Rattus norvegicus: one gene and its partner. The protein of the gene in region 1 purifies or fractionates together with the protein of each later gene. This does not show direct contact. Links are inferred from orthologs where the notes say so. Each region holds a gene or a part of one and is shown on either strand. Other genes may lie near its edges. The genes, in order: Stk3 and Rassf3.

Evidence for each region.
Region 2: the proteins of Stk3 (region 1) and Rassf3 purify together in Homo sapiens (affinity purification with mass spectrometry; 4 studies listed by BioGRID and IntAct, with this or other methods). This does not show direct contact. The link is inferred for Rattus norvegicus from reciprocal best matches to the Homo sapiens genes STK3 and RASSF3.

The regions. Positions count from the first base shown.
Region 1 is NC_086025.1:68,170,281-68,174,098, reverse strand, and holds part of Stk3 (serine/threonine-protein kinase 3), read left to right. Parts: intron 1-641; coding exon 642-722; intron 723-2,436; exon of another isoform or gene 2,437-2,457; intron 2,458-2,742; coding exon 2,743-2,871; intron 2,872-3,818. UniProt on the Homo sapiens protein: Stress-activated, pro-apoptotic kinase which, following caspase-cleavage, enters the nucleus and induces chromatin condensation followed by internucleosomal DNA fragmentation.
Region 2 is NC_086025.1:58,826,938-58,830,755, forward strand, and holds part of Rassf3 (ras association domain-containing protein 3), read right to left. Parts: intron 1,969-3,818; coding exon 1,861-1,968; intron 1,028-1,860; coding exon 805-1,027; intron 1-804.

The DNA of each region.
Region 1 (3,818 bases):
CACATGCTCTTGTGTACAGTATATACTACTTGGCCATGATATTAAATTATTATGCTTATGTATTAACTGTAGTGTAGTTCTAATAATTATCTCTAAGTATATTCCTTCTGATGAAACTGTTTACTGCAAAAATGTAAGCCATGTATATCTTCTACCATATTCTCCAATTTTCCATATTTACCAATTTTCCTGTGTTGTGTTCATTATGGATAGAGTAGAAATCGGTGTATACGGCCCATGTAATAGGCCATATATCCTTGATTTGCTGAAGTACAGTCCATGGTGTTCTTATTGTGTTAAAATTACCTAAAGTATTTCTTGGAATGTACCCCCTTTATTAGGTGGGATATATGTTATTATCAGTATATAAACAACTGTATGTTGTTGAGTGGAAGCAGTGCATGAATTGCATATGTATAAAATGCCATCTTGTCTTTCTGAATGAGGGAAAGGAATGACCATCTGATTTTGAAGAGGTTTCTATTGGAGTCTGTTGCCAGGCACACAAGGAACATCCCTCGGAAGGGACTGTTGGCTGCACCTTTCATTGTACTTGCTTTTGGAACGTCTGATTATATTGCTTATTGCATTGTCTTTTAAAAAGCTTTTAAGGAAAGCATTTTTCTTTCTACTTTTATCAGTAAGCTAAAAAAGCTGAGTGAAGACAGTTTGACTAAGCAGCCTGAAGAGGTCTTTGATGTTTTGGAGAAGCTTGGAGAAGGGTGAGTAAGAACCGTGGAAACATCTTTTATATAAAGGTGGTGTTGTCTAGGCTCTCACCAGGGTATTTTTGCTGGAGTGAGTACTACTAATACCATGAAATCTGACAATTAGTGATAGGTATGGATAGTAACACTATCTTTTAGAAAAATCTCTCTCTCTCTCTCTGAAGCAAGAAATGTGCTGTAAAGTGATTTGTATGAGTTTTGGCCATCTTGTGCATTATCATTGGTAAACTTCATAATTTTGCCTTTCTTAGGCTAGTGGTTGTGGTTGTGTTTGGCACCCTAGGACCCATTTTATTTGGGAAAAGACCAGTAGAAGCTTTGAATTGAGTATCTTGAGGAAATAAGTATGTATAGGCAGGTGAATTGTTAACATTTCAAAATAATAGAGGAATGTATATTATTTGATCATGGATAAAGGTAGATAATAAGTATAAAACAATTATATTTGCAAGAACATATAATATATAACATTCCAAATATAAGGTGGGAAAAGTAAAATGAAGTATAATGCTCACTAAATGTCACATTAAAATATTAACTCTTCGGAGAAAATTAAAAGTAGCCAATCTGCTTTCATAAGCTCTATATAAAATTAAACAGGAGGATGTTTTTTATTAAAAATTCTATCAGAAAGAGTCAAACATATGGGTAAAAATCAAAGGAAAACAAAAGGAACAGTGCTTCTGTTGGGTAAATGAGAGGGAAAAGGTCCCAAGTGGACAGAGAAGTAGAGATAAGGATAGGAAGGGAAATCCTGTCGGATCATTTGGACAGACAGTACAGTAACTAACTCTGATGGGAGAGTCATTTGCTGAGTAAGTAGAATCTAGTAAAAATGGATATGTGATTTTGTCTTTTAGAAGTGGACAGATATAAAACTTAGAAAAGGATTAAATGTTATTAGCAAGTCTGATTGTAATGCTTATATAAAGTATCTGTTGTATTTAGTTATGGTCTCACACACACAAACAGAGGTATACTTTGCAGTCTTCCCTTTTAAGTATATGGTTAAAAACAGAAACTTGACAAATTATAAGATAGATTTTTACAAATCTCTTTTTCTGATACAGTTGGCTAAGTTAGACATAACTACAAAATGACAAAACATAGTGCACTGATTATAAATTGGGAAACACAATCCAAGGTATTCTGAAGGTTCAATGCTTGTAAAACTGTCAGGGTACCTGGTTTACTGTTAGAACTAAGTAGTTTTAAACTTGGTTTGGAGTACATATTAAGTTACAGATCACTTTTTTCTTCATTGCTTCTGCTCTGTAAAACACACAAGTATTTAGTTGATAGACATTCAAAAGCTAGAGTAGAGATTAAGTCTTCTGTCTCCTTTTATGTGACTACCCATGAGTGTGTAGTCTTTCTCTTGAAAGGTGATACTTAAAGAAGCCTTGAGAGACTTTGGTTGAGGATTGCCAACTTTTCTTAATTTAGTGTTAAATGGTTCACGATAGTTTGGTGTTGTACACATCTGCAATCTTGGTAATTTAAGATTGTCCTTGGATTATAGTATGTTTAAGGCTACATGAGAGCCTGTCCCAAAAGAATCAAAAAAGAAAAAAAAAGAAAAAAAAAAAAGGTTCACAGTGAAAGGTCCCTTGGGCTTCTGCTTGATTCAGTCTTCCTCTTAGCCCGAGACTTGGACTGTCTTTAACTTACTTTTCATGCTTGTAATTTCCTTTTCTGTCTTTTTAAGCTGCATTTGAGTTGACAAACCGTAAGTTAGCCTCCTGGCCTCCTTCCTATCTCCTCTGCCTCCTACTCCTTTCTTCCCATAAGAAAATAGCAACTCACTGTGTTTTTACTTGATAACTTTTAAGTTTGTAATTCAAGCAGTAACGCTCCTTCATGAACTTATTATTCCTTTACTTTTGTTTTTGACCATTATAATGATGATTTAAGCTAGAAAATGCAGTATGCAAAATATACATAAAAAGCTCAGTAGTCTTTAATACAATGCTTGATGTAAAAAAAAAGTAACATCTTGGCTTTCTTTTTTAAGGTCTTATGGAAGTGTTTTTAAAGCAATACATAAGGAATCTGGTCAAGTTGTTGCAATTAAGCAAGTACCTGTTGAGTCAGATCTTCAGGAAATAATCAAAGAAATTTCCATAATGCAACAATGTGACAGGTATGAAAGTATCTTAATTTCCTTGTGTTCATTTTGATGATGGCCATTAGTTACATAGTAAAATAGATTTTTTTGTTACCTATTTGTTTTTTCCTGCCTTCTTATTGGGAGCAAGACAAAAACTAAAGAGCCTGAGGATAATGTATAGACTTGTCCTTTGGCCTTACAGCTATTCAAAGAAATGATATAAAAGGATATATACAGGGAAGGAGATAACAGCCTGTCTCTCTTCAGGACAATTTATGGTTGAATATTAAGGTTTTGATATTTAGTGGCTCATTTTACATTATGTATTACATGTTTTTGGTTCTTTTTTACCATGCAGGCTTTCTTGTGTAGCCTAAGGCTAGTGTTGAACTCCCTCTGTAGCTTAATTTTTGTGTCTTACTACTTCAGCCTTTGAATTGAGTGATGGCATGATAGACATGTTCTCTATATCTGGCATATAATAATTTTTGTAAATCTGATTCATCAACAAGCACTTACAAAGCATTTCCTGTTGGGCAAATAATGTATCAGGATCCAGAAATACTGAGAAATCTAAGATTTTGTTTTTCTTCTTGAGGGGCTGTGGACTACTTGGGATGAAAAAGCATGGACAAAGAGCCCTGACTTAGAGTAGTGGGTACTGACTAGTGGGTACTTGGAGTGATAACAAGAACAAGAGGGCAGGGAATGTTTTTCAGCAAGAGATGATAGGCAGTCTGGAAATTGAGGAAGAATTTGGTGGAGAAATGGAAGGATAAAAGAATAAGAGTTTTTATCTAGAGAGGTGAAGAACAGTTCACTTGTTTACTGTAGTGGAAACTATGAGTCAAGAGATTGACAGGGAATCAGGTTGGATAGTAAGTGTGGCTGATGGTAAAGGGTTCTCTGTGCAGAGTCAATAGACATTGCATATGCAATGGTTTTTGTTCTGAGGGATGCAGAAGGCATAGATAGCAGTA
Region 2 (3,818 bases), about 9.3 Mb from region 1:
CTTCCCTGTGTCCCTTAGCACTTCAGATGCAATTGCACTGTAGTTTCCTGGCAGCTGCCCCTCCTCGCTAGGCTGCTGAGCCCGTGGCTTCTGACTTGCCTATTTTTCTGTTCCAAAGAGCCTTTCTTTAACAAATGTACACACTTGGGAAAAGCTGTGCGTCACCCTGTGTAGCTAAGGGACATTCCTATCATGTCAAAGTCAGTACATTTTCTTCGATGGCTGCTTTAAGGCTTTTCCCAGAGAAAACTTAAGTGGCTTACTGCTACTTACTGCAGGGACTATAGACACCAACTTCCATTCCAACTGCTGCCCGGGAGATCCCATCCCGCTTCCTGAAGTAACCTAATGTGCGCTCTATTCACTGGGCATTCGTGTAGGCTCAAGCAGACCTGGGGTCAACATTGCTTGGTTTTTGCATGTGAGTTGTACGTGTGCCTCTTGGCCTCTCCAGCCTTAGCACGTGTACATGAGCTTCAAATGTAAATCATCACTGAAAACTTCAACCACCTAAGTGTTCCTTGGTGCGTTAAAGGGCATTAAATTCATCGCTAACATGCTCTCACCAAACCTGTCCCTCTGTGCGGCAATACCAGCAACAAATCCTCCACGCATGCCCGCTGCACACAGATGCCTCAAAGCCCCTCAGGCCTAACGCAATCATAAATGTCTGACATCAGAGTGTGGCTCCCACACTCTGTCCCTGGCCTCTGACGAGGCACCTCTCGGCTGCCCTTCCTTCTGCTAATGAGTAAGAAAGACAGGAACAGAGGGACCGCTTTCATTTGAAGCGTGGCCACGTACCTTGGTCTTCCCTGTGACAACGCTTATAAAGCGCAAACTTGGTGGGACTCTCGGTCACCTGAAACTTCTTGAGCAGCGCGTCGATCACGTCTCCCACGGTGTTTGTGCTGCTGATATGAAGCGTGTTCATGCAGCCACTGCTGCTGGGGTTGGCAGGGGTCTGGGCAGGTTTGCAGAGTTCCATCTGCACCTTAATGAAGCCAGTGTAAATCCCGTTTGAATTCTGGAGAGTAAAGAAAGGCATACTGAGTGGGCGGTCGGCAGGCTGGGAAAGGAGCAGATCTAAGCCCCATGGGAAGGCGAACAGCTTTTACCCAGTTTTGTCTCGAAAACGATTTCACCAAAGAGAGCAGAGAGGGGCTCCCTCAGTGGGGGATTAATACAAGATCTGCAGGGTGGATGCTGTGGAGGATGCTCCAGGATGTCCTGGAGCGCTAGCCCTGAGGTTTGTGCTTCCAAAGCTTCCTGTGATGGATCAGCACCCATTGAGGAAGACACTGTCCTGCGTGGTCCGCGCCTGCCAGACCAGAGCTGCCCTGAAGCCTGGAGCGTGTCTCAGCTCTGTGCTCAACACCAACCTTCCACAGAGAGGAAGGTCACAGCGAGGGCTCTGAGACACCCAAGTCAGCATTGTGTTGACACTAGGAAAATAGACTAGCTTTATTCCCAGCGGCAAGGGGACACAGCAGATGGCACTGTTGCTACACCCTTGTGCCCAGTGGGTCAGACACTCCCACCTGGTCAAGGCGGGGTCCCTCACTGTGTTCTTGCTGCGGCTGCTGCTACTGCAGCTCTTGGGTATTCCAGGAGAATGGTCCTGAAAGCTCAATTCTCCATTTCTCTGTAGGAGTGTTGGCATTACAGATGTGCACCGCTCCATCTGGCCTTTTTTTCACGAGTCTCAGGGATCAAACCTACCAGCCCTGCCAGCTTGTACTTTTACACAGACAGACAGACAGACAGATATCCGCACATGCTCATACCCCGTCCCTAGCCAGCTCCCTGCCCCCAGCCGTCTGTCAGTGAGAGCCAGGTGAACCAGGAAGGAGTACTTACTAAGGTCATCTTCAGCTTATCTGTGACGGCTAAATTGTACTTATGCACTTTCTCTTTGATTTCCTCTTTGCTGAGGTAATTGTGTGTTTCCTTCTCCTTCTCCACATCCTAGAAGAAAAACCGTCCGTGATCATGCATGAAGAACCACACTGGGGGGAAGGTGCAGATAAACCAGGTTTCATCTGTGTTTCACAAAAGAGCAGCAGACGCATTTCTCCCCGAGACACAGGCAACTCTAGTCTATCAGCCAGCACACCAGGTTCATCTGCCAAGCACGCCTCATTCTTCACACCCGTCTTCCTAGGGGTAGCGGAATGAAGTCAATCCACCAGCAACTGGAAACAGCACTTCAATAAATATTAGTCCGCAAATCTGCCTTTGCCAGATTCCTTCTGTAAAAGTAAAGTTCTGCAGAACATCTGCTAGGCTGCGGGGCACTTCGACCTCTAAGGGGTATTCGTTTACCTTCATGTTTACTTCTGAGACAGGGCCTCATTGCGCGGCCCTGGCTGGCCTGGAACTTACTATATAAACCAGGCTGGCCTAGAACTACTAACAGAAACCTGCCTGCCTCTGCTTCCTGAGTGCTGCTGAGATTAAAGTTGTGAGCCACTATGCCTGGCACACCGAAAGCTTCTCCTAGGTACATTTTATTAATGCCATGGTCTCTACAGCTTTACAGTACGCACTAGCAGAAAGTAGGGAACGAATACTAAGTAACTGGCAATAGTAACCGACCTGTCAGACTGTGCACCACTACCAGAGGGTATATTTACCTTCTAAATAACATGTGACCAGGTTCTCTCTACCCCACCATGCTGTCTACTTGTCCCCATACCCTATTTTCTTCGGCCTTTCTTTCCCCATAACGCAAAAGGGGAAATGCTTACTGGTTAAGTTCTTTCCTGATCCTTTAGAAATCACTAATAATTTATTATCTAAAGATCCCAATCGGGGTTGGGGATTTAGCTCAGCGGTAGAGCACTTGCCTAGCAAGCGCAAGGCCCTGGGTTCTATCCCCAGCTCCGGAAAAAAAAAAAAAAAAATCCTCGAAGATCCCAATCAATGCATATTTGTCCTGCCTGATCTTATGTCAACTTGACACAGGGTAGAAGGAGGTAGGGAAGAAGGAACTTCAAATGAGAAAATGCCCCCCACTGCCCTCAACTGTGGGTCAGCCTGTGGCGCATTTTCTTGATTGGGTGATTGATGTGGGAGGATCTAGCATACTGTGGGTGGAGTCACACATGGACTGGTGGTCCTGGGCACTTTACAAAAGCAAGCCAGGTGTCTGTCTTAGTCAGGGTTTTTATTCCTGCACAATCATCATGACCAAGAAGCAAGTTGGGGAGGAAAGGATTTATTCAGCTTACACTTCCCCATTGCTGTTCATCACCAAAGGAAGTCAGGACTGGAACTCACACAGGGCAGGAAGCAGGAGCTGATGTAGAGGCCATGGAGGGATGTTACCTACTGGCTTGCTTCCCCTGGCTTGCTCAGCCTGCTTTCTTATAGAACCCAAGACCACCAGCCCAGGGATGGCACCGCCCAAAACGGACCCGCCCATCTTTGATCACTAATTGAGAAAATGCCTTACAGCTGGATCTCATGGAGGCATTTCCTCAAGGGAGGCTCCATTCTCTGTGATAACACCAGCTTGGGTCAAGTTGACACACAGGACCAGACAGTACAGCAAGCCAGTAAGTAAGCAGACCTCAATGGCCTCCACCATCAGTCCTGCCTTGAGCTCTGATGCACTGACTTCTCTGGATGATGCACTACAAACTCTAAGAAAATGTAAACCCCTTTCCTCCCCAAGTTGCTTTTGGCCATCGTCTTATCCCAGCAATGGAAACCTAACTAGGACAGATGAATCCATGTACCCACAATCCCAACTGTAGCATCTGGAGAGCCAAGGATGCCAGGCACCACACTGGATCACGTAACCACGCACAAAG